2 linked regions of the Notamacropus eugenii genome follow. The protein of the gene in region 1 purifies or fractionates together with the protein of each later gene. This does not show direct contact. Links are inferred from orthologs where the notes say so. Each region holds a gene or a part of one and is shown in the gene's direction. Other genes may lie near its edges.

What was found.
Region 2: the proteins of RNF185 (region 1) and TMEM259 purify together in Homo sapiens (affinity purification with mass spectrometry; 3 studies listed by BioGRID and IntAct, counting the BioPlex papers as one, with this or other methods). This does not show direct contact. The link is inferred for Notamacropus eugenii from reciprocal best matches to the Homo sapiens genes RNF185 and TMEM259.

What each region holds. Positions count from the first base shown.
Region 1 is NC_092875.1:13,959,925-13,967,460, reverse strand, and holds the start of RNF185 (E3 ubiquitin-protein ligase RNF185), read left to right. Parts: upstream 1-4,515; 5' UTR 4,516-4,605; exon of another isoform or gene 4,606-4,660; intron 4,661-7,536. UniProt on the Homo sapiens protein: E3 ubiquitin-protein ligase that regulates selective mitochondrial autophagy by mediating 'Lys-63'-linked polyubiquitination of BNIP1.
Region 2 is NC_092875.1:61,373,599-61,381,197, reverse strand, and holds the start of TMEM259 (membralin), read left to right. Parts: upstream 1-4,590; 5' UTR 4,591-4,848; coding exon 4,849-5,139; intron 5,140-7,599. UniProt on the Homo sapiens protein: May have a role in the ERAD pathway required for clearance of misfolded proteins in the endoplasmic reticulum (ER). Promotes survival of motor neurons, probably by protecting against ER stress.

The sequences.
Region 1 (7,536 bases):
GAGTCTGGAGTATAACTTGGAGTGAAGTCCCTCTGGAAGATCCTGCTGCTGCTATGGCCTGCCTCCTCCCATTGATGAATTCTTCCCAGACCCTCCATTTCAAGGAAGTGCCCAGGCCAGCTGTGTTGGCTGCCTCACTCCTGGCCCTCTGGACTTGGACGCCATCTATTCCACCCTCATCTTTGGCTCCCTTCAGTTTGTTGTCTTCTCTCAAAACCAGAATGTAAGCTATGTGAAGTCAGGGAATACAGTTACCCCTTTCACTAGCACAGTGCTAGGGATCTGGAAAAGCAACATAAAATTCTGTGGCCCTCCTTTCATGCCAGAGAAGAAGTCTAAATTATTAAGGTATTAAAAGATAAAATATGTTGCCATTATATAATACTATACATATATTTTATTATTTCTGAGTTTCTAAACCTTTTCTGTCATCTGCTGCTTCCACAAAACTCCCCCCAAATTCCCATTTAATTTCTTATGCCAACCTGCAATATACTGAAATTGTGATGGGGAAAGGATAACTGTACCTCCCTTTCTTCTTGTATTTTTATTTCCAGTACTTAGCACAGTACCTGGCACATGGTAATTGCTTAATAAATGGTTGATGTTACCTTTCTAAAGTTTCTATTTCAATTCCCTCAGTGTTGCTCTTCATCAGAAATACCTGAGCATTCTCTATTCTAAAGGTGTCCAATTTGTGGCCAGTGAGCCCACAAAACTCCTGAATGACGCTGAACTGGGTTGTATTTTACTGGAAAATGTTTAACAAAATAAATAAAAACGCAATGTGGATAATGTTAATTTGTGTGACTTGGTAGGGATTGATTGGTTCCTTTCTATTTGAGCTGTTCATCACGTTTCTATTCCGTGAAAGGTCTGCTTTTCTTTCCCTGTAGTTTTTTATGCTCAGATTTGCAGGGCAAGTTATTCTCAGTTCTAAGATGCTTCTTCTGCCTTTTGGAATATTGAATTACATGATCGCTGTTCATTTTTAGTAGAAGCTGCCAGGTCTTGTATGATCCTGACTCATTCCCCAAACTTCTTCCTGGAGGCTTGTAGCAATTTTTCTTTGACATGGGGGCTCTAGGTATTGACTGGGACATTTCTGGGATTCTTCCCTTTTGGGTTCCTTTCAGGAATTAAACAGTGGATTCTTTGTATCTTTACTGACTTTGTTTTCTGGTTCTAACACGTTAGAAGTTTTCTTTTATGGTTTTTTAAAATATAATGTCCAGCACTTAATTTTTTTAAATAATGGTTTTTACATAAGACAATGCCTGACATTATCTCCCTTGACCTTTTCCAGGTCAGTTTTTTTAAAAAATCAGATATCTTATATTTTCTCTTTTTCAATCTCAATTTTTTCCCTACTATTTCTTGCTGTCTCATAAAATCCTTGCTTTGTTGGTCTATTCTCTAGTTTTCAGGGCACCCATTTCTTGAATAAGGTTTATCACTTTCCCTTCCAAGCTACTTCAATCAATAAACATTTATTAAGTACCTACTATGTGCCAGGCACAGTGCTAAGCACTGAAGATGCAAAAAGAGACAAAAGACAGTCCCTGCCCTCAAGGAATTTACAATCTAAAGGGGGAGACGACGTGCAAACAAATCTACACCAAGCAAACTATATACAGGATGAATAGGAAATAATTAACAAAGGGAAGACACTAGACTGAAGAGACGTTGGGGAAGGCTTCCTGTGGAAGACAGGCTTTTGGTAGAGGCTTAAAGGAAACCAGGGAAATCAGTGAATAACGATGAGGAGGAAGAACATTCCAGGTATGAATGACAGTCAGAGAAAATGCACAGAGCTAAGAAATGGAACCAAGGCCACTGTCCTGTCCAGGATGAAGGTATAAGACTGGAAAGGTAGGAGGAAACCAGGTTACAAAGGGCTTTGAATGTCAAACAGCATTTGGTCTTTGTTGCTGAAGGCAACAGGGAGCCCCAGGAACTTGAGTTCTAGGAGAGCAACGTGATCAGACGTAGGTTTTAGGAAAATCACTTTAGCTGATGGAGGGTGGATTGGAGTAGGGAGAGACTGGAGACAGACAGACTTCCCAGCAGCTACTGCAATAATCCACCAGAGTGGGGGCAGTGTCAGAGGGGAGAAGGGTGAGTATTATGCAGGGGTGAGACATACAAGGAATACTGCACAGGTAAAATCCACAGGCCTTGGCACCATATTGGATGTGGGGGGAGAGGGCATGAGGAGTCCAGGATGACCCCTAGATTGTGACCTTGGGGGACTGGGAAGAGAGTGGTATCCTCAACAGTAATAGGGAAGGTGGGATCTTTCCTCTAGATTACAGCTTTTATTTCACTTTCAAATCTCATTTCATTTCTTGTAAGTATTCATAGAGACCTTGTGGAATATGCATCTTTCCTCTGAGTCTGTTGGCAGTCATTATAGAATTAGGTTGGCAAATGCACTCATCTTTTTAGCTTCAATTCCTGAATTGGGGCTGTATGCCCCAGCAGCACTGGCCCAGAGGAAGCAAGGGGGATACCACAGCGGACAGAGCGTTGGTCTGGAGTCAAATCCAGCCCCAGACACTTACTAGCTGTGGGACCCCGCACAAGTCATTTAGCCTAAAGTTTACTTTAGATTCCTTAACTGTAAAATGAGGGTAACTGTAACATGTATCACCCAAGGGCTGCAAAGATTAAATGAGGTCATTGTTGCAAAAGGCTGAGAACAGTGCCTGGCACGCAGCAGGTGCCTCATAAAGGCTTGTTCCCACCTTTCTCACCATCCCTTGTACAAAACACTGCCAGCTCCATGCTTTCACTGGCTTTGTAACAGCAAGGACCCCGGCACCCACAGGAGGGCCTGCTCTACAGGTTCTCAGATCTGCTATTCTGAAAAGAGGAGTCAGCAATCTACTTTAATCAGGCACATGTATCATTCACTTAGTTCAGACGAAAGAGTCAGCCCCCTGAACTTCAGAGAAACCAAGACCAACAGACAGAGCTTCCAACTGTCTGACCGTGAGCACTAAATCACCAACATCTGGGCTTTCCAAGGGGAGGGGCTCCTCAGCAGCTGCCCAGAGTCTCACCTAGCACACCAACCTTCTCCCAAACGCTAAGCCTCACCTCAGAGCCCAGGGCAGGACCCTCAACAGAGATTAACAAAAGGGACTGAGGCCTATTAATGGGAGGGGGAGATCTTTAACTCTTCCCCCCACTCACCATTAACCTTAAATTACCGTTACAGTCTGTGGCTTCCTGTAAGACTCAGCTCCTGGAGGCTTTCCTGGGACCCCATCCACTGAATGCGCCTTCACTCTGACTGCCTCCCAGTGATACCATGTGGAGCTCACAAGTATAAAGCTGTTTTCTTGGGGTCTCCTGCATTAGAACGTGCGCTCCCTGGGGGCCGAAGCCGTGGTGCTGCCTTTCTGCATCGCTCATACCCAGCACCAGTCGAATCCACCTGCCATGCCTTTCTGGGTAGGGCAGTTGTTCTCAGGCTGGGGTCAAAGGCTCTTCTGCTGGCCTCTGCCTCCTCCCCCCAGACTCAGCTGACAGCTCCACAAGAGAGATGAAGGATCCCTAGGGCAAGGCCTCAGCCTTGCCTGGACATGGCACTGCCTTCCAGAGAGCTGCTCTCACCTTCAGCTTGTGCCCTCCCTTAGGTCATCTTCCTCAAAGCCACAACAATAATCTTCCTAAGACGTGTCTGACCACGTCACCCCCTTGTTCAGAAGCCTCTGAGAGTTCACTACTGCCTCTAAAATCACAGGCAAACTCCTCAAACTGTTATCTGAAGTCTTCCTGAATCTAACTTTCACCTACCTCTTCAACCTTGGTTCTCAGGCACCCCCCCAGCCCAGCCCCCCCCTGGTCTGAGGCCCCTCCAGTCCTGACCCGCCCTGGTCTGAGGCCCCCCCCCAGCCCAGCCCCGCCCTGGTCTGAGGCCCCCCCCCAGCCCAGCCCCCCCCTGGTCTGAGGCCCCCCCCAGCCCAGCCCCGCCCTGGTCTGAGGCCCCCCCCCTGGTCTGAGGCCCCTCCAATCCTGACCCACCCTGGTCTGAGGCCCCTCCCGGCCCTGACCCCCCCGGTCTGAGGCCCCTCCAGTCCTGACCCCCCCTGGTCTGTGGCCCCTCCCGGCCCTGACCCCCCCCCCGTTCTCAGGCCCCTCCCGGCCCTGATCCCCCTGGTCTGAGGCCCCTCCCGGTCCTGACACCCCCTGGTCTGAGGCCCCTCCCGGCCCTGACCCCCCTGGTCTGAGGCCCCTCCAGTCCTGACCCACCCTGGTCTGAGGCCCCTCCGGTCCTGACACCCCCTGTTCTCAGGCCCCTCCGGTCCTGACCCCCCCTGGTCTGAGGCCCCTCCAGTCCTGACATTCAGGGCTTATCCTTCTTCCTTCCGCATCCCACGTGCCTCGCCCGCGGGCGGAACCTTGGTCGTCTGGTCGAAGGTGTCCCCGCCCACAGTGCCCGCCGTTCCCTTCCGGGTGCGGACCGGAAGTGCCTTCGCGTAGGCCCCATCCCCTGCGTCAGGTGACGGGATCCCGCGGAGGAGGCTCCGGAGCCGCCGCAGCCGGAGCCTGACTGACGTGACGGGCGGTGGACGGAGCGAGGGAGCGCGCGCTGAGGTACCTCGGCGGTCCGTGGCCCTCGGCGCTCCGGGGCCGCTTGCACTCCCTGAGGGTGCGGGCCTGCTTTTGGATTGGGGGACGGGGAGGGAGCGGGCTGGGACCTCCTCTCAGGGTCTGGTTGCGGCTGCGCAGGCGCCGTGGCAGGGAAGGGAAGGTGGGGGTCTGACTCTTCGGGACGTAACGCGCCTTCCACCTACTACTGGGCATGCGCCATAGGAGGTTGGGGGGGCCTCGTTCGTGAACTGTCTGGGTCCGTGACACGCCCCCCATAACTTTCCAGTGCGCAGGCGCGCTGAGAAGAGAGGCGTTGACTAGAATGGCTTAACCCGAAGCTGCGCATGCGCCATAGATCAGGGGCACTGGCTGCCGTGGTGACGACGTGCCTTCTTGTACACGTTTAACTCCGCTTGCGCATGCGCCCTAACAGAGTAAGCGCTGAGAACCTCGGTTCCGGAACTCTTTTGATTCTGCTTGCGCATGCGCTGTATGAAACTTGGCCCCTTCTGAACTTGTGGCCCTCATGCCACTGCGCAGTCGCAAGGACAAGACGCCCCCTCCCCTCCTTGGGCACTGTTTCCTGCTTCCCCGGTGATGCTCGATCCCCTCCCGCAGGGCTCTCTCCTGGCCTGGTAGCCCGTGGCCGCGTCGCTGACCTCCCTGGGGGGTCTGGCTCCTGCTGCGGTCAGTGCGGACGTGACGCAGAGCTCGGCCATCAGGAGCGGGGCACCTCGGCCCCGGTCTGCCAGATGGGCATGAAGTGTTCCCGCGAGCCGGCCCTCCGGGTGCCAGGCGCTGCAGGCTGGGCCGAGGGGCAGCGCCCGCCCCTGCCCGGGTTCTCTGAGACTTAGCGCTGTGCCAGGCTCTGGGGGTGCAGAGGGAGGGGCCCCACCCCCCAGCCCGGGAGTGGCACGGGCAAAGTTCTCCGGGATCTGTGGAGGAAGGGATTGTGGAAAGGAGGAGGCACGGTCCCAGGGTTGGGCCCCTTGGCAGCAGCTTCATAGGCAGGGGAGAGGGCAGGGGCATTCCAGGAGGTCCAGCTGGCACCCAGCATGAAGGAAGGGGAGGGAGGGCTGTCAGAGTGGGAAGGTCGGGCAGAGCGCTGTGGAAGGAGGCTCTTCAAAGCCTCCCGTGCTTTGTTCACTCTTGCTTCTCCCACACACCCATCCCTGGTGCCAGCTCCCCACTAGAGAAATCTGGATCCCACGCTGTCCCCCATGCAGTCTGCCCAGAACCGAGTCTGTCTGTCCCGCTGACCAGGACTCTTGAGCTTGCCCATTTCCGGGGAAGGCACCACCATGTTTCCAGTCTCCTCAGTCTCGTCCCTGGTTTGATTCCAGTTTGGCTCTGGTGCCTTTCCCAAACCGATGCCTGGCGCCTCTTGTTGGGGTGCCCTCCTGCCACCCCAAAGTACTTTGTGCTTACTTTTTTCTGTTTCTGTATCTGCCTACTTATCTTTGTACATGTTGTTATCTTTGATCAACCATATCCTGGGAGAGCAAGGACCGTTTTGTCGTTTGTCTCTATGTCCCCTTTAAATTGAATTGTTCCTAAAGGAAATTGAGGGCAGTGAAAGCTTTTGAGTAGAGGAGTGGTATGGTCACACCTGAGCAGTGGGAAGAGTCTTTGGGAGCTGTGTGAATGATGGGCCGGGGAGGAGAGGAAGGAGCCTGGGAGACTAGAGGATTGTCATTGTATAAGGCGCCCTGACGACTCCTTATTAAGCTCTTTTTTACATGGAAGGCACTATGCTAGGCATGCGAGGTGTAAAGATTTTTTAAATGGCAGCATTTTTTACCTTAAGGGTTCTCCTCAGGGGTAACAAGCACAGAAAATGAGAAATCCTAAGGAAAGGTGACAAGTTTGACCACTGAGATTTGGTGGGAAAAGACTCACCAAGTCGGTCCAGAAGGATGTGCCTTACTCAGAAGGAATAAGAGACAAATGAGGGAGTGGAATATCGTTGTGAATTAAGAATATATGCAAAGAAATCCGGAAGCCAGAGGTGGGCAAGCCTGGGGAGAGGAACAGAGAGAGAAACAGTCTTGAAGGATGAAACATGGAGAGAGGCCAAACAGAGCGGGCTCTTTAACAAACTACCGAGACACTGAACTTGGAAATAATAATGATAGCACTAACATTTCTGTCCCCCTCACTGTGTGCCGGGCACTTTACACATGATCTCAGTTTGATCCTCACAACCACCCTGGGAAAGAGGGGCTCTTACTCTCTCCATTTTACAGACTGAGGCAAACAGGGTTAAGGGACTTGTCTAGGATCACTCAGCTAGCTGTCTCTCTTCCCATTTTAGACCCTGAATAAGGGGCAGCTAGGTGGTGCAGTGGATAGAGCACCAGTGCAGGAGTCAGGAGGACCTGAGTTCAAATCTCACCTCAGACACTTGACACTCACTAGCTGTGTGACCCTGGGCAAGTCACTTAACCCCAACTGCCTCATCCTGGGTCATCTCCAGTCATCCTGATGAATATCTGGTCACTGGATTCAGATGGCTGTGGAGGAGAAGTGAGGCTGGTGACCTGCACAGCCCTCCCTCAATCAAAACAAAGTCAAATGCAAGTCATGTCATTATTTCTCTGATGGCATGGTCTTCTTCGGCAACAAAGGACAAACACACACACAGACCCTGAATATCACAGCCCTTAATGTGTTATGTGAGGAACAGATAACAAGCTAATGGTACTAGACAGGAGCTGCACCAGATAGGCACAGAGAATATCCATCCACACAGAGGCAACGTTTTTGTGGGCATTGAAGTATCTTTCTCAGCATATCTGAAAGTTGGGAAGGATACCAAATGCTTGGGGAAAAATTAGATAATATTACTACCCCAGGAAGAATAATTGAAAAGATTATCAATTACTGATCATATGCCTACTAGTCTACATCTACAGAAATCTTCCTAAGAATAAT
Region 2 (7,599 bases), about 47 Mb from region 1:
TGGAAATCTCTTTCACGCTATCATTTTGTGGCTTCTACTGCTCTAGAATTTGCTTGGAGTCATTTTTTACAGGTATTTTATGGGCTATGGGGGTAGAGTTAGAGCAGGTCCATCCTTGTACTCTGCCATTTTGGCTCCTCCTTCTCCATAAACATAATTTTAAAACATCAGTAAGATGCAAAGAGAAGATGAATAAATGGATGGGACTGGATGAGGTCATCAAGAGAAAGTATAAAGAAAGAAAAGATAATAGCTCTGGATAGAGCCTTGGGGTTCACCCACATTAAGGGAATTGGACTTGGACAATGATCCAGAAAAGGAGGCTAAGAAGGAATAGTCAGAAAGACAGGAGAAAAACCTGTGTTCTTCTGATATGAAGAGAGCTAGGTCATAGAAACCAAGTGAGAAGAAAGTAGGAGGGTGTGGTAGGCAGTGTCAAATGCTCCAGTGAGGTCATGAAGGATCATAGGATCATTAAAGGTCATCTGATCCAACCTCCTCATTCTAATCTTAATTTCCTCATCTGTAAAATGGACTTTGAGGCACCAGTTACAGCTGTATTGGTATTTTCAACTTTTAACAACATTATCTCATTGGATCTTCACTACAATCCTGGGAGATAAATGCTATTATTATTTCCAATTTACAGCTGAGAAAATCGGAGCAGACAGAGATTAAATGATTTACCCAGGGTCACAGAGCTAGTAAGTATCTGAGGTTAGATTTGAATTCCGGTCTTCCTGATTCCAGGTCCAGCACTCTATCCACTATGTCATGAGTTGACTAGAACAAATATGAAGGGTTTTGATGGAGTTCTCTTTAATGGCCTCTGAAGTGTCTTTAAACTCTAGATCCTTTATATCCCTAGTTGATTGGAAGACCTATCAACAACTTGAGCCTTAACCCATTGGACCAATCAGATCTCAAGGACAACTTCCATGCCTTTCAGGGGAAGCTGTAGCCTAGCCTACATGGTTTGGTCCACTGGAGATCTCTTCAAGACTTTAGAATCTGGGAAGGTAAGGAAGGGATGCAGTTTATACAAGGCTGTCATGGGGCTCCCAAACATATAAGAATGAAATGAGAAAATTTGAACCTTAAAGTCATAGATGATTGGTTGTTACAATTGCTTTCTGTGCCTCTGCCTTCCTCTAAAGCATCACCTCAAAACAGGCTAGGATAAATAGACTTCTGGGCCAGTTAACACATCTCTTTATTAGGCCCACAACCTTCCCAAGGCTGGTTGTGAGGATCTCTAACTAGCTTTATTCAACTGAAGGTCCCCAGCCCTCACTCTTAGGGCAACTAAATTCCATTCACTCCTTCCTTTCTTTAGCCTCTCACTTAGTCCTTTTCCTCCTGGAAAAGCACTCTTACTGCTTTCTACTTGCCATTTTTTCATTCCTTCTCTCCCATTTTCTTCCCTTTTGCAGTAATTGTTCAGTCATTCAGTCTGTATCTGACTCTTCATGACCTTCTGGACCATAGCCATAGCCCTTCCATCCTCCACTACTTCTCCAAGTCTACCCAAGTTCATGTTTGTTGTTCCTATGATATTATTTGTCCATCTCATCCTCTTTCATCCCCCTTTCCTTTCACCTTCAATCTTTCCCAACTTCAGAGTTTTTTCCAGTGAGTCCCATCTTCCCATTATGTGACCAAAGTATTTAAGCTTCAGCTTTGGTATTTGACTTCCAAGGAATCGCTTCAATTAATTTCCTTAAATATTGACTGGCTTGATTTCTTGTCGTCGAAGGGACTCAAAAGTCTTCCTCAGCACCACAGTTTGAAAGCATTGATTCTGCAGCACTCAGCTTTCTGTATATAGTCCAGCTCTCACAGCCATATATTGCCACTAGAGAAACGATAGCTTTGACCATATGGACCTTTGTCAGCTTTTGAGTATGTTGTCCAGCTTTCCTTCCAAGGAACAAGGGTCATTTTATGGCTGCAGTTACCATCTGCAGTGATCATGAGCCCAAGATTATAAAATCTGACGCTGTTTCCATTTCTTCTCCTTCTATTTGCCAGGAAGTGATGGAATCAATCACCAAGATCTTAGGGTTGTTTTTTTTTTAATGTTAAGGTCCAAGCCAGCTTTTCTACTCTCTTCTTTCACCCTCATCAAGAGGCTTCTTAATTCCTAGGTCATGCAAATTACCCTGAGGTTTGGAGTAGCCTCAAGATGGCACTGGAAATACAGACAGCTGGCTCCTTCCTTGCAGAGGCCACAAAAGTTTATGTCCTCCATTCCATGCAAAGTGAGAGAATTGGACTAGATGTTTTGTGAGGATCTTTTCTGTCTTGAAATGCTATCAGTGACTTATGGGAGAGGGCCCAGGAAAAATCTACTCTTCCAGAATCCCAGATTTGTCCCCAGCCTGGTTTCTTCCTGGGTCAATGTCTTCTTCCTCAAGAATTTGGAGCCTTCTAGTATGTAGTTGGTTGGCAAGATGCCCAAGAGCTTCTTCTTCCTTCAGTGTCTGGTTGGCAACATCACTTCAGTGATCCATGAATTCATAGAATTTGGGGTTGAAAGAGTTCTCAGCAGAGACCATTTAGTGCAACCCCTCATTTTATAGATAGGGAAACTGAGGCCCAGGGAGGTTAAAGTGACTTTCCCCAAATCAGAGAGCTTGTAAGTGGCAGTCAAGATTGTGAAGCTAAACCTTCCATTTCTAAATCCAATATACTTTCCAGTATCCCACTGGGACAACCCCTTTACTAGTTGATCTTCAGGAGTTGGCTAAGGTCTCATCACTATCTTGTCAAGTCTGGTGATGAGCCTCTCAGAAGTTAGCTATGTTGGTCCTCAGGGGACTGACATAAAGGGCTATTGACCAGACTTTGGGTTTTGGCCTTGTAAAACTTTGTTAAAACATTTTGGAGATACCTTGTTTCCCAGAGCTAAGGGCCAGCAAACAGGCTGTGTCCTGACCTTGACAACAATAATCTTTTGCACTCTGGATGATCTCACCCTCTGGCAAAATGTATTGCACCAGGTCTTCAATCCTTCTATTTCCCAGTGACCTGAGAGCCAATATCTACCACGTCTCTGACATGCTCACAATCCCTGTCCTTGTCACAGAATTCTGGTTCTGTACCCCATAGAATAATCATGATCCCCAAGACTTGGGACAATAACGTTTCTATAGGACCCCTAGGAACAATAACGCAAGACCTAAAAATGATTATATCATAGCCCAGTCCACATGTATATAAACATTGCCTGTACCCCAACATGTTAGACCCTCGTCAGGAGCGGGGCTTCCTTGGATGCAAGTCATTTTCCTCACTCTGAAATAAATTATACCGCTACTTTGTATCCGGACACATCTGCCTCTAGCTCCTCTGGCCATGCCCAGGTTAGAGACTGGTCCAGTCTGGACTCCATTCAAAATTCTATTGACAACCCAGAGAATCTTTGCCAAGGAAATCCCATGGATTTTCCCAGAGAGCTCCACAAGGATCATGGGTCTGACAGAACCGACAGAACTAAAACGACTGAACAGTTACAACAATCCTAGCCCCTGGCGCATAGTGGGTGCTTAGCCATTGATTGTATCCGGGACCAACACACAGTAAGTGTCTTGAACTGCGTGTTTGCAAGATCTCTTTGAGGTGAACACTATTATCCCCATTTGACAGATGGTGAAATTGAGCGTGAGGAAATGTTCAGTGACTCGCCCTCAGGCATACAACTAGTAAATGCTGAGCTGGGGTTCAAGTCCACCACTTTACCTCCATTCCAGGGTGTTGAGGTTTCTTCCTCTTCCTTCCCCGCCCTGATCTCACTACACTTATGCTGCCTCTTACAGGACAATAAAAGAGGGAGGCCACCTGGAGCACAGGGATGCTCCTTCCACCCTCCTCTGGAAGCTTTGGTCCAGGGGTTTCAGGTACAGGTTGCTACGTTTCACATTCAGTTGTACACAGGCTGAATGCTCCTGGCCTCCCTATACATGAGAGCGAGCGAATGTGAGCGTGTGTAGATATATAAACACATACAGATATACACATATTTAGACATATATACAACCTCCAACAAAGACCCTTTCCAGCTCTGAAATCCCTCGCGTCTGCCAGGCGTTACAGAAAAACTTTGGAGGAGTTTGAAAAAATATGGAACGCTTCACGAATTTGCGTGTCATCCTTGCGCAGGGGCCATGCTAATCTTCTCTGTATCGTTCCAATTTTAGTATATGTGCTGCCGAAGCGAGCACGAAAATCAGGGGCTAGCTCCTGCTATTTAAGGCTGAACAATAGATCTATTTTATGATTAGGATGACTAGTATTGCCACACATCATTTTTCTTTTTATTCTTCTCTAGATGAAGCCAGTCTCAGAATAAGAACTCAACGTATAATTGAAAAGTAAAATTTTCCCACTTTATTCGTGTTGCACTAGAAATGCGGTTGCATTTGCAAAACTTCGAGTCGAAGCTTGTGCGGCGGTGGCTCACGGGAGAGTATGCAAAAGACGCCTTGGCTTGGCCCCGCCTGGGCGGCCGGGAACGGAGGGGAGGGCCGGAGAGGGGGAGGGAGGGAAGGGCGGAGGAACCGACTGGAGGGCGGGGCTGTTCCTCCAGCGTCCCAGGATTCACCGCGGGCGAAGCCGTCTCGTCAGCAGGGCCGGGGTCGCGGCGACTGAGGCGGCGAATGGCGGCCTGTAGGCGCCTGTGAGGAGGCGGCGGCGCGGCCGGAGGAGAAGCGGCGGCGTCCGGAGCGTGGGGCAGGGGCGAGGGCGAGCACCCGGCGGGAGCGCCGCGGCCCAGGAGGGGCCCCATGGCGGCTGGGCCGCCTTCCCTGGGAGCCCCGGCCTGTTAGCGCCCCGGCGGCCCAGAGCAGAATGTCGGAGAACCCGCCGCCGCCCCCGCCCGGCCCCGGGAACGCCCCGGGCAGCGGCCCTGCCAACTCGGCCGGCGGGGCTGGGCCCGGGCCCGGGGGGGCGGCGGCCGGAGGCGGCGGGGCCGGGACCCCCCGCGGGGCGCGCACCCCCAACCTCAACCCCAACCCCAACCCGCTCATCAACGTGCGCGACCGCCTCTTCCACGCGCTCTTCTTCAAGATGGCCGTGACCTACTCGCGCCTCTTTCCGCCTGCTTTCCGCCGGGTCTTCGAGTTCTTCGTGCTGCTCAAGGTGAGCCCGAGGGCCGCAGCACCGCCCTCCCCCCCGCTCCGCCCTGCCGGGCTCAGCAGCCCCCCCATGGGCGTCGTGCCCCCCTTGTGCGGAGCCGCCACCCCCATGGACGTCCAGCCCCCCAGTGCCCCCCTTGTGCAGAGCCACCCCCATGGACGTCCAGCCCCCCAGTGCCCCCCTTGTGCAGAGCCACCCCCATGGACGTCCTGCCCCCCAGTACCCCCCTTGTGCAGAGCCGCCCCCATGGACGTCCTGCCCCCCAGTACCCCCCTTGTGCAGAGCCACCCCCATGGACGTCCTGCCCCCCAGTGCCCCCCTTGTGCAGAGCCACCCCCATGGACGTCCTGCCCTCCAGTACCCCCCTTGTGCAGAGCCGCCCCCATGGACGTCCAGCCCCCCAGTGCCCCCCTTGTGCAGAGCCGCCCCCATGGACGTCCAGCCCCCCAGTGCCCCCCTTGTGCAGAGCCGCCACCCCCCTGGACGTCCTGCCCCCCAGTGCCCCCCTTGTGCAGAGCCGCCAGCCCCCCTGGATGTCCTGCCCCCCTTGTGCAGAGCCGCCACCCCCCTGGACGTCCTGCCCCCCAGTGCCCCCCTTGTGCAGAGCCGCCAGCCCCCCTGGATGTCCTGCCCCCCAGTGCCCCCCTTGTGCAGAGCCGCCAGCCCCCCTGGACGTCCTGCCCCCCAGTGCCCCCCTTGTGCAGAGCCGCCAGCCCCCCTGGATGTCCTGCCCCCCAGTGCCCCCCTTGTGCAGAGCCGCCACCCCCCTGGACGTCCTGCCCCCCAGTGCCCCCCTTGTGCAGAGCTGCCCCCCTGGACGTCCTGCCCCCCAGTGCCCCCCTTGTGCAGAGCCGCCCCGATGGACGTCCAGCCCCCCAGTGCCCCCCTTGTGCAGAGCCACCCCCATGGACGTCCTGCCCCCCAGTGTCCCCCTTGTGCAGAGCCGCCCCCATGGACGTCCAGCCCCCCAGTGCCCCCCTTGTGCAGAGCCGCCCCCATGGACGTCCTGCCCCCCAGTGCCCCCCTTGTGCAGAGCCGCCCCCATGGACGTCCTGCCTCCCAGTGCCCCCCTTGTGCAGAGCCGCCCCCATGGACGTCCAGCCCCCCAGTGCCCCCCTTGTGCAGAGCCGCCCCCATGGACGTCCTGCCCCCCAGTGCCCCCCTTGTGCAGAGCCGCCACCCCCCTGGACGTCCTGCCCCCCAGTGCCCCCCTTGTGCAGAGCCGCCCCCATGGACGTCCTGCCTCCCAGTGCCCCCCTTGTGCAGAGCCGCCCCCATGGACGTCCTGCCCCCCAGTGCCCCCCTTGTGCAGAGCCGCCCCCATGGACGTCCTGCCCCCCAGTGCCCCCCTTGTGCAGAGCCGCCACCCCCATGGATGTCGTGCCCCCCTTGTGCAGAGCCGCCACCCCCCTGGACGTCCTGCCCCCCAGTGCCCCCCTTGTGCAGAGCCACCCCCATGGACGTCCTGCCCCCTGGTGCGGAACCCCCCCATGGATGTCCTGCCCCCCTTGTGCAGAGCCACCCCCCCATGGACGACCTGCCCCCCCAGTGTCCCCCTTGTGCAGAGCCGCCACCCCCATGGACGCCCTGACCCCCAGTGCCCCCCTTGTGCAGAGCTGCCACCCCCCGGACGTCCAGCCCCACAGTGCCCCCCTTGCGCAGAGCCTGCCCTGGAGCACTCAACACTCCCCTGATGGACATCCAGCCTGCAGACCCTGTGGTCTGTGATGGACATCCTGCCTCCCTAGTCTTTAACAGCCCCTCCCACCCCCTACCCTTTGCCTTTGAGGGCTGTACTTCACATTGATCTGACATCTTGTCCCCAAAAGTCTTTAACACTCACTATTTCCTCCTTGCCCCCCAAATCTGGGCCCTCTGCCTTCATCTGAGAAGAGGGGGGGATAGTGAAGCTATTTGTGGATTTGGGGGATCTGAATCCAAACTCGAGGTCTTGAGCTTAAGAGCTGTGTGACTGGACCCCCTCAAGGCTTGGTTTCCTGTCCTTACTTGGATGGAGGTTAGACCAGGTTCTAAAACTGATTCTGACCCACTGTCCTGCCCCTGAATCAGCCAACAAGTATTAAAAGCTTACTATGGGCCAGGCACTGTACTGAGTGCAGGGAACACAAAAGACTGGGACCCAGTGCTCAGGGAGATAACCTTCTGGTGGGAAAAAAAACATGCAAGCCTTGTAAGAGCCATATAAAGGTACACACGGGGAAAGACCCTGAGGATTTTAAAACCTCCACCTCGGTATCCCTTTCCAGATCCTATCCCCCTGCAGCCACTTTCATGAGTCTGTGCCCCCCCCCCCCAATTTTGGAAGGCAGGATAGTGCATTGAAAGAAGCAGTATATTTGGAATTGGGGGGATCTGAATTCAAATCCTTTCTTTGCCTCTTTATAGAGTTGTGAGATGGACTTACTTTTACCGCTTTGGGACTTCTTTTCCTTTTTGAGAAGT